Linked DNA regions of Drosophila melanogaster. Changing the gene in region 1 together with any one later gene gives a genetic interaction. Each region holds a gene or a part of one and is shown in the gene's direction. Other genes may lie near its edges. The genes, in order: puc, pan, bsk and Rac1.

What was found.
Region 2: of puc (region 1) and pan, changing one suppresses a phenotype caused by changing the other (phenotypic suppression), as found in Drosophila melanogaster (3 studies listed by BioGRID).
Region 3: of puc (region 1) and bsk, changing one suppresses a phenotype caused by changing the other (phenotypic suppression), as found in Drosophila melanogaster (4 studies listed by BioGRID).
Region 4: of puc (region 1) and Rac1, changing one enhances a phenotype caused by changing the other (phenotypic enhancement), as found in Drosophila melanogaster (3 studies listed by BioGRID).

The regions. Positions count from the first base shown.
Region 1 is NT_033777.3:8,103,528-8,108,529, forward strand, and holds the start of puc (puckered), read left to right. Parts: upstream 1-1,804; 5' UTR 1,805-2,333; coding exon 2,334-2,568; intron 2,569-2,960; exon of another isoform or gene 2,961-3,212; intron 3,213-4,704; coding exon 4,705-4,851; intron 4,852-5,002.
Region 2 is NC_004353.4:88,357-93,571, forward strand, and holds the start of pan (pangolin), read left to right. Parts: upstream 1-1,998; 5' UTR 1,999-2,857; coding exon 2,858-4,917; intron 4,918-5,215. UniProt on the Drosophila melanogaster protein: Segment polarity protein. Functions together with arm to transduce the Wingless (Wg) signal in embryos and in developing adult tissues.
Region 3 is NT_033779.5:10,246,864-10,252,239, reverse strand, and holds bsk (basket), read left to right. Parts: upstream 1-1,738; 5' UTR 1,739-1,959; intron 1,960-2,497; exon of another isoform or gene 2,498-2,980; 5' UTR 2,981-3,029; coding exon 3,030-3,145; intron 3,146-3,325; coding exon 3,326-3,455; intron 3,456-3,517; coding exon 3,518-3,715; intron 3,716-3,778; coding exon 3,779-4,043; intron 4,044-4,104; coding exon 4,105-4,388; intron 4,389-4,466; coding exon 4,467-4,592; 3' UTR 4,593-4,738; downstream 4,739-5,376. Other genes in the region: Ror, read right to left, coding at 176-273; CG31717 (uncharacterized protein), read right to left, coding at 739-1,344, 1,413-1,421. UniProt on the Drosophila melanogaster protein: Mitogen-activated protein kinase and key component of the c-Jun N-terminal kinase (JNK) pathway which phosphorylate and activate transcription factors involved in a wide range of biological processes including response to various stresses, cellular proliferation, differentiation and migration, and regulation of cell shape.
Region 4 is NT_037436.4:1,300,130-1,304,242, reverse strand, and holds Rac1 (Rac1), read left to right. Parts: upstream 1-1,559; 5' UTR 1,560-1,896; coding exon 1,897-2,475; 3' UTR 2,476-3,364; downstream 3,365-4,113. Other genes in the region: Acat2 (Acetyl-CoA acetyltransferase 2), read right to left, coding at 20-205, 266-695, 750-862, 934-1,055, 1,150-1,192. UniProt on the Drosophila melanogaster protein: During various developmental processes, regulates changes in cell morphology in response to extracellular signals.

The DNA.
Region 1 (5,002 bases):
CAGGCCTCCTGATATGACGCGTGACTTGCCACAGATTATGTTGCGGGTCACCAGGTTCCAGCTCCTCAAGGAATCTGTCGAAGGAGTCTTGCCGTAGGGTACACAGCTTGTCCTTGAGTTCCTTGATGGCTCTGTTGAGTGCTGCCTTGTCCCTTGGGTTGCGCGAGAAGAACCAGATTCTCCTGAGGCGCCTTTTTTCCGCTACGAAGGCCGCAATTTCTGGAGACCAGAGGTGAAGGTCTCTACCGGGAGTTCTTGGGGACGTTGAAGGAGGAGGATTGGCAAACTCAGCAGCATTGTACATCTCATCCGTGAGAGTTTTGATTGCCGCATCGATGTTGCTTGGAGTGGAGAGTGGAGGATCCGGGTGCAGGGAGGACAGCATCCAGAGTGTGAACTTGGAGGCATCAGTGTGCTTCCCGGTGAGTCTTCTGGGCAACTCTTTTTTGAGGACGGGGATGTTGAGAAGCATTTTTATAGCGCTGTGGTCGGATATCAGCTTGTTATAGTTGGAGCAAGTTAGTCTGTCTTGCCCTATGCCTTTGGAGATAGCAAAATCCAGGAGGTCGGGCAGCAAGGAAGGGTTTGAAGGCCAGTGGGTAGGCTCACCAGAGGAGTGGCAATCCAGTCTTCTGCTCTGCAGGAATCTGTGGAGCGTTCTGCCTTTGGGGTTGATGGAGCGGGACCCCCACCAGGAGTGTTTGGCGTTGAAGTCACCAGCTGCTATAAAGCGAGGTCCAAAGGACTCAAAAAAATCTTGTAGGTGAGTCTCGGTGATCGAGTGTCTAGGTGGGAAGTAGACCGCTCCAACGGTGATGTCTCCATGTAGGCTGGAGATTCTGGCCAGGGCACACTGGGCCCATTCCTCCTGAAACGCAGGTAGCTCCGTGTACTGGATGCCACTCCTGATGAGCATGGCTGCTCCTCCGCGCGCTCTGCCAGATGGATGGTTGGCAGGGATGACATCGTAGCCGCTAATGCTAAAATGGGATCTGGGACAAAAGTGGGTTTCTGATACCAGTAGTACATCGATGGCATCTGTTTTTAGGAGGTGTTCCACCTCGGCTCTGCTCCTCTGCAGGCCGTTAGCATTCCAAATAACTATTTTTAGGCTTTGCATACTTTTGCGTTGAGGATGGAAGCAACAAGCTGCGTCATTTGCGAGAACATCTTCTCCATCATCCTTTCGACCATTCCTTCGAAGCGAGCAAACATTTGTTCCATGTTACTGGGTTGCGGAGATTCAGGTGGGGTTTGACGGGTTTGGTTGGGATTGGTTTGCTGAGGCACTTGGGTAGACATGAGCGCATCTCTGTAGTGACAAATAAAATGTTTTGACAACGAAGAATTTAAAGAGGTTTATAACGAGCATTGCTATATTCATAAAAATTATAATGAATAAATGGAATTCATCAATATAAACTAACAAAAGGTTTGAGCCCGAGATAAAAGAAAATTAGTATATATACAGCATGTCAAAAGCAATTATACAAAGTCAAATGTCAGCATGTTTCGAAAATAATTAACCTTTAACGTGTAATAAATAAAAAATAAATAAATAAAAATTGTATTATGATCATAGGTCAAAGTATGTAATAGCTTATTTTAACTTCATTTGTCAACAATTGTGGCTATTATATATACTTTAATTTCAAATTCAACCGCAAAGTCTTCAGTGTTGGTGAATTTGGTGAGCGTAGAGTAAAGTTTCAGCTTGTTAGCCTTTTTTAACTGTAGTAGCCTCTGGTCACACTAATCGCGTCTTTATCAAATTCGGTTATCAAATTTGTTTTGCGCCCGTTCATTCGTCTTGCGCTCATTCATTCGGTCATTCATTCGCCTTTTGAATACCGCTTCGAACGGTTGTGTCTACATCTTTGCACAACGAGTTCGAAAAATAACTAAGCTCCGCGCGAAAACAGTAGGAAATTAAAACTAGAATATTTCTGGTAAAAACATTTATCATTGGATACAATAATTTTAACACGAATCGTGAGAAGAGGAAGCAAACAATTAATACTAAAATAAAATATAAAAACGAGATCTACAACCCGCGCGTTTTTCGATTAATGAATTAAAAATAAGTGTGCGTGCTACAAGTGGAAATAAAACTCGATTTCTGGGCCCCCGACTTTTGGTTGCAACACACTTTATAACGGGAAGTGGCTCAACAAGTGGCTCGGGGATTATCTAATAAAGCCCTCCTACCGAAAATCATACTTAAATAATATAGATTATTATACGGGCAGAAAGCAACAAATAAAATATACATATATCAATTTTAAAACAACCAAAGGCCCCCATGTGTATGTGTGTAGTGTGAGCGCGTGCATATGTGTGTGAATCGAGAAACGCAGAGCAGCAGCAACAATAATAGCAACAACACTACAACGGCAACGTCAACAGCACGCAACAACAACAGCCACAACGGACGCTGTGAGTGCGACGGAGACGGCGACAGCGTGAGTCATATACAAAGTGAAATGAAAATGCGGATAAAGCGAGAAGCGCCGTGTCTTCTGTTATTTATGCCAATCCAAAATACCAACAACAACAATCGCATTGGTGGTAAGTACAAAAAGAAGCGAAAAAAAGAATCAAATCAACAGAAATAAGCAATAAGAAAAATCGTACAATTTAAGATTACACTCAAACCAATCAAAAGAGCGGGACAGGGAGAACGTATTAATCCCTCTCTCTTGCTCTCTTGATTTTTACCGCTCGGCATGCTGTTTACTTTTGCTGGGGCGCGAAAGAGAGGGGGAGCACACGTAAGCGTCTCCATTTCATTTCTACAAAAGCAAAAACAAGCAAAAAGAAACGAACTCGAGAGAGATCAGACTCAGAGTCAGTTACTTTTTTTCGCTCCATACGTGACTCACAATTCGCGTGTCTTTCAAAAATAAAAGCAAAAGAAGCGTTTCGATTCGTTTCTGTTGGCTGGATAAATGAAAAAAAAAATCAGTCAGTCCAACAAAATACGAGTACAAATAAAAAAAATAAAACAACAGAAAAAATGTAAAGCAAAGCAGGTTTCTCAAGCGGCCTGGCAACGCTGAAAAACCCGCTTTGAAACGACCTTTCGAGTACGAATTCATCGGCACAACAACAACAGAAGAAGGGAGAAGCGTGCGAAGGAGGAGGCCAAAAGGGGAGCAGAAGGAGAAAAAGCAACAGCCGCGGCAACAACTCAAAACTGAAGTTGGGAGTCGGTAAGAAAGAGCGGAAGAGCAGGAAGGGTTAGTTGCAAGGGCCAGGGGCGAAACTAAAAAGGGGTGCCCTCGTTGAGTCAAAGTTCCAAAACATTTACAGAATAGTTGAAATTTATTAAATATAATATAAGTTGAAGCATTACAATCGCTTTATAAATCACTTAAAATTAATATCATCTTAAAGTGAAAGATTTACTACCTTGTTGCCAAGTTTTTTTTAGACAATAAACAGCGAATTACTAATAACAGTAAACATAATGGCGAATCGCAACCCAAAAGTTGGACAAAATAGTGAACAGAAAGCTGATGCATAGCTCATTTCCAAAAGTAAACAAGCCACTGTATACTAATTAGCACTTTCCTATTTTCTACTCTACTTCACACCACTCCCCCCGTTTCCCACACCATAGGCCCCCTTCGAAACCCACACACTCCAGACCCAGACGCCCCTGGAGGTTTGCAATGCACTATTGGCATGCGATTTTACTTGTTTTACTAGCCGCAAACAACAACAACAGCGACAAAAAAAAAACATAACCAACGTTTCCTGCCGCGGTGAAAAGTTGGTTGTACTTTTTTTGAGGCTGTTGCTTTTTTCTGTGTTGTTTTTTGGCTTTTGAGGTCGCTTGGCTGATAACAGCAATTTTGTACCCCAGTAGTTTGCTCGAAGTTGTTTTGCTTTTCAGCATAAAAGAGACTATACTTTCTGGCAAGGCTGATAAAGTCGATTTGATCAAGTCAGCACAGTCCGAACTCCTAAGACCACTTTGAAAACATAATACAAACTGTAGCATTGGTTATCTTATCAAGTTTTTTCTTTTGACGGACGGCTGAAATGATACCCTTCAATCAAGGAACATGGCTTAAAATTAAAGTTTAGTGTAGGGGGAAAATCGTACTTGAAGTTTTTAAAAACAAATATTTACTACAAGATTAATTTTAATAATATTCGAAGAAATCAGAATGATGCTAAGAACATAAATATACCAGCATTAAAAACCCAAGATTGCCGTACTAAAAAAGTTTTCAACTATTTGTTATTGACAGCTTTTGTTCAGACTTACCTATAAATGAATAATCTGGATTGTGTTTTACTATAATATACTATCAAATTGGTATCGGGCTAGCTTACAAAGCGTTCTCTAATTATGCCTGCTCACTGTGATAAGCGACTTGTGAGCTGCGAGCGAATGTGGAAAACTTTGGCTTTGCATTCGCTCGTAATCAGGCGAAAAAGAAGAAAAAAAAACTCTAGAGCCGAAATAAATGTCTTACGTCAGTTTTGGCAGGCGGCAATCGAAACGAAATATTTTTGCGGTTTTTTTGAACGGGGAACCTGGCGCGACAAGTTTTTCGCACTGCGGTCCATACACGGTCCGTGCTGACATCATGGGTTATAAAATTAAGCAAATCGCTAACCGCCAATTAAAATCAGTTTTTAAATCACCGCATTAATGCGTATTTTCTGGTCTTCGTCTCCTTCCCTCGGCAGCCAATCAGAAGGACTATCCCAACAAGCGGTCCAGGGAGAATCTGGCATGTGACGAAGTGACATCGACGACGTCATCATCAACGGCAATGAACGGCGGCGGACGGACGCCGGCGCTAACCCGCAGCTGCTCCAGTCCGGCGGTCTACGGTAAGTGAAAGTCGGCTAAATGGGGAACCCAGCGCAAAGGTATGCGACCCGAAGACGGGTTTCAAACAATACTCTCTGTGAGTCGGTTAGAAATTTTTGGCAATTATGTGAAAAGTCGTGAATCGTCATGTATTTTGGTATGCAAGAAGTT
Region 2 (5,215 bases), on another chromosome or scaffold:
CGGTTTCTTTACCTAGTTTGTATACAATTTTGAAATTATTAAATATTATTAATATTAATTTTTTAAAAACATCCATAACGGTTTTAAACCTCTGTCGTCAGCCTTTTTTAAACTTTGAGTACATAACACATATTTGTAAAATTTGTTGAGATATATTTTCTGAAAATGTAACATTTGTTTGTATCCTTGCAAAAATTATATCCTAAATATAAAATATATATAAATATATATGTTAATTTCAACAAAAAGTGTAACTATTATGATTTCGAAACCTAACATTTCTAGGTTTGTTAGTTCCCGGAACTACTCTGCTAGTGATCAGGAACATGTATTCTATATATATATACTAAATATATATATAGTAAATATATATATATAGTAAATATATATATACTAAATATATATGTACTAAATATATATATATATATACTAAATATATCTATTCTAAATGTATATATATACTAAATATATATACTAAGAGAATATATATCGTAAAGGCTTCCATCTAGCTGTTGCATACTTCTATTTTAATTGTTGTTTACTATAAAAGCTAGTAGGTTGATATTCACCGTACAGATCCTAGAGACCAAGACGCAGCGCCACATTGTTGACTCATGTTGCCACGCCCACAAGCCGCACAAAACTTCCACGCCCACACTTTTGAAAAACGTGTTGATATTTTTTTTATTTTATTTAGATTTATTAGTCTTGTAAATTTCTATCGATTTTCAATTTTTGTCACGCTCACTTTAACGCTCTAAAGCCGCCGAACCAGTCACTCCCACGCCTTGGAACAATTTTAAAATTTTTTTTCATTTTACTCCTCAATATCTATTGACATCCCAGAAAAATTATGAAATTTCACATTCACACTAGCTGAGTAACGGGTACCTGATAGTCGGGGAACTCGATTATAGCATTCTCTCTTGCTTTTTTCTTAGGTCGAGTCACTGGACTTTAGAGGCCTTTTTTAAAATGCATGGATTTAAAATGTATTAAAGTAGGTTTTTTATTTGTCTAAAAAACTTCTTTGTGAAAAGCGAAAAATATTTATATATATATATACAAATATATTTTTTGTTGACAACCGAAAATAAACTTTCTTCGAAGACATATTAATACTAACGAACATAATTATGAGCAAGTAAACAGTTGAATTGGCCAATTAAGATTAGTGATAAGAAGTTTTACACATCTTTAATTTAGAATCAACCGATTTTTTCAACCGTTTTCAGTGAATAAATAAATTTCTAATATATATCCTCGAAAAATGTAATTTTCAAGTACTAATTTATAAAAAATATTTTGATAATATTTTTTAAATCAAAATGTTAAATTATTTGCTTTAAGTTAAGGTGGTCTAGAAAATTTAAATTTAACTCAAGCTTAATATAATATTGTTTAGTTTACTGTATTCCGTTGTTGAAGCCCATACATATATATATAAATATATATATTCGTAGATATGATTTGAAATTACATGGCGCCATCTATATCTGAAGGCACTTGAGTTTTGCACGTGTTATGTTGCCAGGTAAAATCCAAAAAATTTAACATACATACACAAAATATGAATAAAATTAAAAAATGGGTTACTTTTAATCTGGAATTACGTATAGAAAAAATGTAAATTAAAGTCAAATTTGAAAAGAGTCGTACCAACATTGGATGCTATGAATATTTTCATGTAAAATATTTGTAAAAATACATCATTTTGCGATTTTACTTGTAAAAATGTAAATTTACGCAGCAGTAAAATTCACATTACACAGAAGTACATATTTTTAAAATACAGATTAAACAACTTTATTATTTCTTAAGAATGAATTAAGAATGAAAAAAAAAACAAATTTAATAGTATCTATTACTTTTTTTTTACAAATTCGTTACAAACATGTGCTCGATACAAAGTTTGTGCGCAATGTTTCTCACGCAGTTATTTTCGAGCCGATGGCTCGTCCTTGTCTCTCTTGTTCCGCGTCGTACACCTTTATCGTTAAGTTTTATTTTTAAAGACCGAAAGAGAGTAAATCAGACAATTGTTGTGGCAGTATATACAATTTTGCGAAAAATCTATCTAAAGGAATCAATGCCTAAAAATAGTTGAACAATTTCCGGAAAGAACAATTTATGAACACAAATGAAAAAAATAATCTTTATTCGATTTGTCCATTAGAACACAAGTAGAATAATAACACGAAGTGTATGATGAAATCGAGTGTTTACATATAAAGTGTATTTATAAATTAAATATAAGTTTTAAAAATAGGATGTCATCTTTTGTTTCCATAATAATACTAATATAGTGTTGATCGATTTAGTAATATAAATATGTCGGAATAAATGGAGATAGTATATAAACCGATTATTGACCATATTAACAGTGAACTAAATAAGTAAAACAATTGTGGCTTCCTCTAACACAATGTGGAAATTACAATTAACAAACAAATAAAACAAAAAAAAATTACGACCTCATATTGCAACAGTCGAGCAACAGGGTAACGTTAATTAAAATGAGATTTCTATATAATTAAAAAAATGAAAACAACGCATGGATTCTGGATTATAACATAAATATTACGCTATCTAAATCTCATTAATATTGCAAGAAAATTTTATAAACAACGAACCCTGTATGAAATGTTGAAAAGTTGTACAATGGTGCTTGAAAAAGTACTAATTTAATTAAATTTGAGTCATCAAGGTGAACTAAGATTCTAAAGGTTAATAGAAATGTTTAAAATTTTGAAATACAATTTATCCAATAAATAATATAAATAAAATATAAAACAAAAAGTTAACGAATGACTAACACCGAACGGATTTTAACAGCAGGCTCCCACAAAATCCGATAATGCCACACTGTGGAACAACTAATAGTGAAATTAATTTAAACTCAAACGAATTAATCAGTTACCAGAAAAAGAAGAGCAATGAGGATCTACAAAAAAAGCACGATAAAAAATGTTCAATCAATTTGAAAACGAGCCAGGTCCCTGATGGTGGGTTCAATAACCAATATACGCAATTAACTGCCAACAAAATAGAACAATATAACTGCAATGATTTGGATAAAGTTTGTATTGTACCATCAAGTAGATCAGACGGAATGGAGGCATCGTTTTCCGAACTTCTTTTAAGTCCGAATAAATTAATTTCTCAGCCTTGGCAAACCGCTGAAGAAATAGAAAATTGGCAAAATGACAGTTTTCGCCAACGAAATGAAATGTTTTCTTGTATATATACGAATAGTATGCTAAATCAGCAGCCATGCTCGCAGCAGCAGCTTTTGGCCACACAACTTTTATACGCTCGGCTTCTTCGGTCTCAGCTAGCTGAACGGGAATTTCATTCGAATAAATTCAACATGGTTCATTATTCGGGATCTAAAAAGACCATGCTTCGAGAAGATGAGCTTCTGTCAACCCCATCTTCGCAGGATAATAATAACAATATTAAGTTAATTAAAGATATCGAAAACAGCATAAGTTGTGTAGATCCCCCTTTGTTTGAATTTTCTAACGTTCATCAAAGAGCAGAACAAAAAAATAAACAAGACGACAAAAATTGTTACTCACCAAAATTAAAATCGAACAAGGAAGCCCTAGATGGGTACGACTTACAACACACGTGTGATTTTATCAGGGAGCAAAAAAACATTCTTATCGACATTAAAAAAAAACTAGATAATCTCTCAGATAGCTCAGGTAAATTTAGGAAAAGGTTAAGTGTACGTCAAAGTCACATTGAAGTAAATAATGGCTCTAATTCAGCCCTTGAGGAAAGTGTAAGACGACAACTAAATGGAAATCGCAAGTCTATTGAAAACTTACTGGAAGAGGTAAAACGATTATATAATCAATGGAGCAGCGCTGAGCTCTATTATGTTCGCAGCTTACAACGATTAGGACTCCCATCAGAGGAAGATGGTGAATATACATCTACACCAACACATACTATCATGGCATTAGCTGCTATAGCACTGTCTAATGAAAGTATTTTGCCACAGAAAACAAATGCAGTGCACTCTAAGATTCCAGATGTTGAAAGTGAGTCCGATTTTTTTTTGACCTCAGCAAAACCTAAAACGTTGGTCGAAATAGAAGATATAATATTACAACTCGCATCATCTGTTAATATGCATCAATCCAGCTCTGCTAGCACCCCTCATGAATCCTACAGTGATAGTGTTAAAAGCGATTGCGAAGAATCAAATTCAGCACCCACTTGCATATGGCATTCGACAAGGCAAACCTTTCGCCACAAAAAAGACGTAGAGCCTTGTAGCACTGCAGCTGAGATTATTTTAGAATATGCTTCATTGTCTTCATCTTCTAACATTGAAACCTCTCGCTTGCTTACATCTGCATCAAATTTAACAGATGTTACAGAAAATTATAATGTCACAACGCAATTGCCTATTGTGTTTAATTACAATCGAGAAAGTTCAGCTGAGTCAATCGTTACCGATCCTCTACTTGTTCCTGAGTTTTCTACTGCACCTTCAACCCCATCGACTGGTAGTAATAGTGGATGCTCTACTGGAATGGTTTCTGGAATTTTCGGGCTAAGTCAAAACCGAAGAAAACAAAGACTTGCAAGGCACATTGAAACTCTGACTACAAATTCTTTTAAATCGAATGCAATAAGGGGAAATGTTGACAACGAAATCACTAATCAGCTGAAAACGTCGCCATCAATTAGAGCATTGCCAACTGAAAATGTTTCCCATTTAATTACTAAGACATTGTCTTCGGCTAATGCATCTTTAACAGCGCAGGAACTTTCCATAACTAACCTGTTTAAAGAGCGCCTATGCGCTTTACAGGGAAATGCCGGATCAATGAAAACTGAAATTTTTCCAATGATAGATGCCCCATACGACTTAAGTATTGGAAGCAAGACAAAACACATGTAATTTTATTTCGCCTTACTTGGTTAAACCCTTTATTTCTTTGTAAAACTGTTGAAGTCGATGCTCACTCCTAATAGTACCTATTTTCTTTAATGAACTGTTGATTATTGCAAGCAGCCTGTAGTTGTAAATTATACAAAAAATGTTGTAAGTTATAATAAATTGGTTTCGAGTTTTTAAAGTTTTTTTTTTGTTTTATTTAAAACATTTTTTTCTGTTTATGTGGAATGTTCAATGTGTAGTCTTTTGATTTTTCCCGCTCTACAATACTTATACGCTTATATTTGAAAGGTTTTG
Region 3 (5,376 bases), on another chromosome or scaffold:
TAAAAGGATAAGGGCGTCTAAAGATTTCTGCATTCGAGTATACACTATGTTTAGTAATTTAAAAATATATAAAACATGTTAAGCTCATGATTTCATTAATTATTAATTCCACACAAAAGTATTTCGCTAATTATTGTTGCGGAAACTTGGGAAAACTTTCAGTGAAAATACCTACCCATATATTCTTGAGTCCACATTATGGCTCCCCACATCCTTTTTTGTAAATAAAAGCACGAGCGAAATGCAGACTATAAATGCCGAGTATTTGTTCATATTGCTTAATCTAGCTAACAATATGAAGCCTTTTGTTATTTCAATAGTCCAATTGACATGCCAACGATTCCGAAAATATTTTTGTATTTATCCTTTCGCGAAAACTTTATGTGGCATACAACATTTCATCCCCCGACGAAGTCGTTGGGGTTGTTGACTCCTTATCGATGAATCGATATATTTAGGAGTGCTATGACTCGGAACAAAGGAATTACACTATAATTTCTTATAATTAATAATCCAAATATCTTCAAAAGCTTTATTTATTTTATTAAAGATGGTTGTATAACGACTTTAGTCTCATTTAAAGTACACTTTCCCTTTTCACAGTGAAATAAGGGTAGAAAAATTATGCGAAATACACAATAATATGAATTTAACATTAACAATGTATTTGGTTAAAGCATTTATCATAATGATCTAGAGATTATCTATTGCTTTCGGTGTTCCAATCGTAACTTATCGTTACTCCATGCTGTCGACAGTTTCCTCGGTAACAAAGCCCACAATGCTAAATGCAGTTTCCTCGCTGATCCACAGAAGTCCCACGATTAGTGCCTCCAACACTCCGATGGCAGCACCGGCGCAGATATCCAAAATATAATGACGCTGGAGGATGAGCCGTGAGATGGCCACGCTTACAGCCCAAGCTGTGACCGGCATTAGGAATATGATGTGAAGCGGATACAGCTTGGCGAAGAACAGCAGCACAAAGAACGCCCGGGAGGCATGACCTGAGGGAAAGCTGAACTTATCGGGTCCAATGGTCAGCATATCCTTGCTGGCCACCGGTCGCCTGCGACGAACAAGCGCCTTCAGCACGGCCACGATCACTACGTCGAGTATCAGGCCGAAGAGCATATTGACTTGCATTTGATACAAGCTCTTCGAGCTGAGCAACCAGATGAAGGCGATCCATGAGACAAACCAGGCGATTCCATCGCATGATATCTCCAGAAATCTGCTGTGGATCCGCAGGGATTTGAAGAACGACAGATTGGAGACGGCTACTACAAAATGCTTCGACACCTGAACATCCTTCTCCAATAGGTATTTAAGTGCTGGTGATGACTGCAAGGACAAGATTTTAAAATTAGCACTTATCAGCTTATGTGATTCATCAGTGGCCAAAAACCAACCGTCCTCATATCGCTGTGTATTTCAACTCTTTTGTTTTTATTTATTGTTAGTGATGACAGTATTTCTCATTCGTCATTCGATGTATACTCGATAAGTCGAGCAAAGGAATATCTAATGACCGGAACGGTGAAATGAAACACTGCGCCAACTTAGTTTTTGGTCTTTATTAAATAAATTGCATTTGTATATGTTTATTTGTAAGTTATTAACACTTATTAGGTTTTAAACCCCTAATTAAACCTAATTTTAATCAAAAGTCGATTGGCTGACTTTAGCCGTTTCTGGTTTTGGTCCTACTGCAATCTGGTCACATCGATTTAAGTAACTTTGTTGTGATCGAATATTCCAATAGATTTTCGTATATTGTATTGTATCCATGTACAATTATTCTCATGCGAAAGTGCCGCAGATAGTTGATTCTTAAATTTCAATAACATTAACATAGTTTAAAATGCTCGCCACTTTGAGTGCCCAGTGTGTAGAATAAAATAGAAAAAAAATCGATTTTATATTTTCACAAGAAATTCTGTACTTCTTCGTTAAATGGTAAATAAATATTCTATTACGTTCCATTCACATCAAATATCGAATCACCGAAACACTCCTGCAAAACGTGCCATAATCGATTGAAAGCAATTATAGTTGTGCCGGTTATGAAAAAAATTATTGATATTTAACATAAAATGTCAACTGCCCAAAGAGTGTATGTACCTATGTATGCGCAAATGTCTAACGTTTACATATCGACACTACCCGAAGCGTAGACCGCTTTATTATCTGCAGCGCAAACGAGCGCTTTTTCGATGTACGAATACGGGGAATATCTTTTATCTGAGAGATAGTTTGAAAAGTTACTAAATTATCGACCCACATTTGTGTGGCTGTATGTGCATATGTATGTATGTGGCTTACATCTTACACATATGTATACCAGTAGAAGTTTACAGTTTTCATCCGCATACAAATCGTGTGTATGTACATATTTACACAGGCAACGGCATGCATACACATGAACGCTATGTACATCGCTGTGGTCCAACATTCCGTACTTTTATGTTTAAGCCGGACATATCGATTTTAAATCGGTTTTTTTTCCTGTGCGTGCCGCTAAACACTTTGCTCAAAGAACGAAACGCTCGGTTATTTCTGTTGGGTGTTTTTCCAACCATATTCGACATGTGTTCGGCAAACATTTAAATGCTTATCAATAGAAAAGGGGGTTCGGCATTCGAAGTCGGCTCAAATAAGTGACTGCGTTATGCAATTGTATCTTTTTGAAGGAACTCGATATTTTTTGCTCGTGGTTTGGCAACAAACTCGCCACACACTAGCCAGTAAATTTCACCCCTCGCGACAACAGAGACCCACTTAATGGCCATAACATTCTGCCGAAATAAGGCCAGGCAAAGTTAATGTTTTCCTACCCCCTAATTCCAGACGAAGTTGTCTGAAAACTGCCTCCACCCATTCAGAATGGAGCCATACATACGGACGTCTTTGCTCCTTATATAAAACAGAATCACACTGTAAAACCGTATTGATTTATCTTATTTACCCTCTTGAAAAGGCCGATATGCTCCTTGCTCTCAACTAGTAATAAATAAAATCAGTGAACAATGACGACAGCTCAGCACCAACACTACACCGTCGAGGTGGGGGACACCAACTTCACCATCCACAGTCGGTACATTAATCTACGGCCCATAGGATCAGGTGCCCAAGGAATAGTATGGTAAGTGGTTATCAATATGTTATTACATATAATACATTTAACAATTTTTTGGCTTAAACAATTAAGATATTTCGCATGAGTATGAAGTCATATTTGTAACGCTCCATTGTATATTAGATTAGATTAGATGGGATTAGCTGGAATATGAAAAAAAAAAATAACAAATTTAATGCATTTCAGCGCCGCTTACGATACTATCACCCAGCAAAATGTGGCGATTAAGAAACTATCTCGACCATTCCAAAATGTAACCCATGCCAAGCGAGCATATAGGGAATTCAAGCTAATGAAGCTTGTTAACCATAAAAACGTATGAAACTTGCACCTTTAACTTTAACAAATTTCTACTAAACATAGGTATTTAATCCGTAGATAATTGGCTTACTTAATGCTTTTACGCCGCAAAGGAACTTGGAAGAGTTTCAGGATGTCTACCTGGTCATGGAGCTGATGGACGCTAATCTCTGCCAGGTCATCCAAATGGACTTGGATCACGACAGAATGTCCTATTTGCTTTATCAAATGTTGTGCGGAATAAAACATTTACACTCAGCAGGAATTATTCACAGAGTACGTACAGTATGAATACATCTTTAAAATGAGTATGAAATATATGAAATACTTCATTTGCAGGACTTAAAGCCATCCAATATAGTTGTAAAGGCCGACTGCACTCTAAAAATTTTGGATTTCGGTCTGGCACGTACTGCAGGAACTACCTTTATGATGACTCCCTATGTGGTCACCCGATATTACAGGGCTCCAGAGGTCATTTTGGGCATGGGATACACAGAGAACGTGGACATATGGTCCGTCGGTTGCATTATGGGCGAAATGATACGGGGCGGTGTGCTGTTTCCTGGAACGGATCATATAGATCAGTGGAATAAAATTATTGGTATGTTGCTGCTTAAATAACTTGATTCTCGTTATGATTGTCAACTTTTACGTTTTTTCAGAGCAATTAGGTACACCATCACCCTCGTTTATGCAACGGTTACAGCCAACCGTCCGAAACTATGTGGAAAATCGTCCTAGATACACTGGATACTCATTTGATAGACTTTTCCCCGATGGCTTGTTTCCAAATGATAATAATCAGAATAGCCGCCGGAAGGCTTCTGACGCTAGAAATCTTCTTAGTAAAATGCTAGTCATTGATCCAGAGCAGCGGATATCTGTGGACGAGGCTTTGAAGCATGAATATATCAACGTGTGGTATGATGCTGAGGAAGTGGATGCTGTAAGTGATTCTGGCATAAACTGGATTTCTAGGAATGTTGAATGTTTTTAATCGCTTAATTGCATGCATCTCTTGCAGCCCGCTCCGGAGCCATATGATCACAGCGTGGACGAAAGGGAACACACTGTGGAGCAGTGGAAGGAGCTAATCTATGAGGAAGTCATGGACTACGAAGCACACAATACAAATAATAGAACGCGGTAGAGAACGACTTTTTCCTCCTTAGTCAGTCACAAGAAAACTAAAGCTTACCAACAATACGGCGTGTATTGTTAAATTATTACAACAAATAAAATATTCAAATTGTATTTAAAAATATAGTAACCATTAAAAAATAAAATCAATATGCGAAACTTTGTAATTTCTTACTCATCCTTGTTTTTTGAGCCCGCTTTCTTAAGTTAAATCGTTAAAATACCAGTTTAATCATTTCATTGTCCTGATTTCAGGAGCTAATTACATTTTAATCTTTGTATAAATTCATAAAATTTAAATGGAAAAGTTTAACCATATAAATTATTTCGGTATATAAAGTCGATACATACTTTTAAAATTTTGTTTCATACAAGAATATGGAAAGTAGATAATTTAGTTACCGATAAAAACATTTCTAAAATACAAAAAATTTAAAATGATGATTAAATAAAAAACTGTTATACTAAATTTAAACGAAACAAACGGTCATTCGATAACTCAATTAGTATCGAATAAGCCGGCGTGTAAATCGGGCTGGCAACTCTCACCGGTGTAGAGATCGGGATGGCAACTTCGTACTGTTATTCCTATGCTGCGATAACGATAACAGCAAAGTGTCATCGCGAATAAATGTGGGTTTGATAATAAAGAATTGCGTTGGTGAACAATAATAATACAAATGCTAAATGTATCGCGCGGATAACTAGTAAACACTGATTTCGCGCATATCGGGCATACGGGCAGCTAGACGTCTTAGGTAACACATTTCCCAGCCACATTGGCGTTGAGGTAT
Region 4 (4,113 bases), on another chromosome or scaffold:
GGAATTTCCGTGTAACTACCAATGCTTCCACAGCTGTGACTGGTCCCAGTCCCATCACCTTTGGCTCAATGCCACTCTGAGTCCAGCCCACAATCCTAGCCAGCGGCTTAAGACCCTTCCTGGCCACCTCCTCGCCGGACATCAGTAGTACGGCAGCAGCGGAGTCGTTGACGCCTGAGGCATTGCCAGCGGTTATAGAGCCGCCCTACATAAGCAAGAGAAAGTGGGTTAACTCTCGCTCTTCTTGTATTTATCTTAGACCCACCTCTTTGAAGGCTGCCCTGAGCTTCTGTATACCCTCGACGGTGCTGCCCGCCTTGATGTACTCATCCTTGCTGAATGTGGTCGTACCCTTGCGATCCTTGATCTCCACGGGCACAATCTCCTTGTCGAAGTAACCCTTTTTTTGGGCCTCCTCGGCTCGATTTTGCGACAGCACGGCATAGGCATCCTGGGCCTCACGACTGATGTTATACTTATCGGCCAGATTCTCGGCAGTGATGCCCATGTGTATGTTCTCCATGGCATCGGTTAGGCCGTCGTGGATCATCGAGTCCACCATAGTGCCCGGACCCATTTTGACGCCCTGCCGCAGATGCATGACGTGTGGAGCCAGGGACATGCTCTCCTGACCTCCTGCCACAACAATCTGTGCGTCTCCCGAGCGGATGGCCTGGTAACCCAGCGCTACAGTTCTGGAAATGGTAAAAACCATTGTAAATGTACGGAATTGTACGGGACAAACTCACTTTAAGCCGGAACCACATAGCATGTTTATGCCGTAGGCTGGCACCTGAATGGGCAGACCCGCCTTGAGTGAAGCCTGACGTGCTGGATTCTGACCCTGACCGGCGCTTAGAGCCTAACAAAGATATTTACATAACAAATAGATCGGTAAGATAGGAGGAGAAACAGTTATGATATGGGTCCCACCTGGCCCAAGATGACTTCGTTGACCTCCTGGCCCTCCACATTCGCCCGCCGGAGTACCTCCTGGATGACCACGCTGCCCAGGTCGGAGGCCTTCAGTTTAGAAAGCGTTCCATTGAAGCTACCTGTTGATTTTTCAGATTGGACAAACACGAAGAGAAAGTTTCCAATTAGAATGTGGTTATCGTGTATGGTGCAGCCGATTTATCTTGGTTTTACCAATGGGCGTGCGGGCGGCGGACACGATGAACACGTCAGACATTCTGGATGGGCAAGGAACAGGTGTTATTGACTTGGCTATTGAGCAGCAAATAAATTCTAATTTTCGAAATTGTATTATTTGCTGCCAGAAGTGTGACCAGGTGCAGCCAAAGCCCAGAAGCTGCACTTCTGGGGCCCAGCCCTACTAAAAACAGCTTGTTCTCACTTCAAATCACTGACATAAACAGGAAGACAATGAAATTATATATTTTGTAATTCGGATTTAATTATAAGTAAATGCGAAACTTAAGGGTTTTATGTTTGCTTTAAGGACGAAGCCTTGAAATAATTTACAAATCTTAGGGTGACCATTTCAATGCAGTTTTAATTTGTTTTAGTATTTTACAGCTTTCCCATGGTAAATTTGAACAGTCCAGCCGCGGTCACACTGCAGTACACAGAAAATTTACTTTTTTTGTTGAGAAAATTAGGGAAATTAACGCACAAAACGCGAGTTAAAGAGGCCCAGAACGTAAGGCGCGATCATCAGTCGCCCCGAGGACCACAAGGCACTGGAAAAGGAGTCGCGCTTCCAGAGATAACCCCGCAAAAGGACCCACGCAAGCAACAGTCCTCCGCCGCCGCCCCAAAAAGAACCAAAAACGCCTGAAGAAGAAGCACCCCCGCAATCAGAAATCTGCAATCTTCAATCTCCAATCTCTAGGCACATAGCACTCCAGTCCAGAAAGTCGAGGAAATCGAACCATGCAGGCGATCAAGTGCGTCGTCGTGGGCGACGGAGCCGTGGGAAAGACCTGCCTGCTGATCAGCTACACGACCAATGCCTTTCCCGGCGAGTACATACCCACCGTGTTCGACAACTACTCGGCCAACGTGATGGTGGACGCCAAGCCCATCAACCTGGGCCTGTGGGATACGGCCGGGCAGGAGGACTACGACCGACTGAGGCCACTGTCTTATCCCCAGACCGATGTCTTCCTCATCTGCTTCTCGCTGGTGAATCCGGCATCGTTCGAGAACGTGCGGGCCAAGTGGTATCCGGAGGTGCGCCACCACTGCCCCAGCACGCCCATCATCCTGGTGGGCACCAAGCTGGATTTGCGCGACGACAAGAACACAATCGAAAAGCTGAGGGACAAGAAACTGGCGCCCATCACCTATCCGCAGGGCCTGGCCATGGCCAAGGAAATCGGAGCGGTCAAGTATCTGGAGTGCTCGGCCCTGACGCAGAAGGGTCTGAAAACCGTTTTCGACGAGGCCATCCGGTCGGTTTTGTGCCCCGTGCTGCAGCCCAAGTCCAAGCGCAAGTGCGCCCTGCTCTAAAAGAGTTAGACAGTTGGTCGGTGGTGTTCCACCGACGGACTCTGCTTAAACGTAATATTATTAACTATAAAACCATTATGTAACCTAAGCGTGGCCAGGCTAAATGGCTCATCCGTAGTTTCTTTGTTACAATTTTGCCACTAATTTCCGCTGCTAGGGGGGGATTCCCCCAACCCAACCCAACCCAACTCTTGCTTTTGTTTCGTTTCCGAGTTCTGAGTTTGTTTCGAGTGTTCTGTAATTCATAATCCAATTATTCTGTTTATTCGTGCATTAATTTCAACTAAAAGTTAAAAGCGAGATGTTTCTAGACGAAATGGAGAACTGTAAACTCTAACTGTATTTTGTATTATTTAATAACTTTTGTAATTAAAATTAATGTTGTAAAACTGAGGTAAAACCAAAAACAAAACAAAACAAAAAAAAAAAAACAAACGAAAAACCTAAAAAAAATGTGAGACAAGTACGAGAATAGCCGCATAATGAGCATAAAGCATAGATGTCGCATAGATGTTGATCGAAGGTCCTGCGGAAGGGATCAGGATATTGAGTCAGTAAAGTAAACGTTCCATTGCAATTACACTTACATTATTACATACTTGTATTTAGATGTTGTTGGATATCGAAGCGACGGCGCGGGCGAGTAACAACTTTTTAAACTTTTGCTAGATCCAGGAACTATCAATATATATACATGTATGTATAAGATGAAAAGTCCTTCGTATACTATGTACTGAATTAAAGGCATCAAACTGAGCAACTTTGAATACTTTGTATTTTAAACGACAGATATTCAAGAAACAAAAGAAAAACAAAAAACATGAACGAAGCCAAGATAATTATATAAATGTGTCTATTTCAATGGAAATCAATAAAGCATAATAAAAGGAGTTTTGGTTTATTTATTGTGATATGTTTCTTATATTCTTCTGACATATCATATGTAGTGAATACTAGAAAACGATCTGCGCATATTAGGGAACTATGAGTGGGAAAGAGCGTAAAACTAGTTTTAGCTAAGTCGAATCACTCATCGAAAAGATATCTGAGTGCTCTTTTCTTCTCCAAGATCTTCGCAGCACCAGCACATATACTTACTTACATAGCTCACGCATTCAAATATTCTTGATTGTTTATCAAACTCCATTCGTCAATGGCCGACATTGGCCCTCGCTCGAGTGCTCACTGTACCCACAACGGAGACAGACTTATCAACGCCGAAGAACGAATTATTTTGCTTATCTCGGCGAAAGTCGAGAACCGAAAATAATCTAAATCAGCTTGAAACAAAATAACCGATTCCCGGAGCTCCTCACTTCTGGTTCTACACCGAGAAAGAAGTATTTATGGTTAGCATGAAAATAAAATATAAATATATAGAAGTAAATAGAATAAAAGCATTTTATTGAACATGTTGCAACTAAACTCTAAAATGATCTTGTTAATAATAGTTAGATGTAAAATGTAGTATCAAGTCCAGATAAGTGGCAATCGTAGGCATTCAAGATTCCTATTGTTTTTTCCGGTGCACTCACACTCTCTTTGGAATGTTCTCGCAGCTGGAAATAAATCGGGCTACAGCGAAAATCATTTATGTTTATACATATGTTACACAGGCAAAGGCGGCGTATCTGTGGC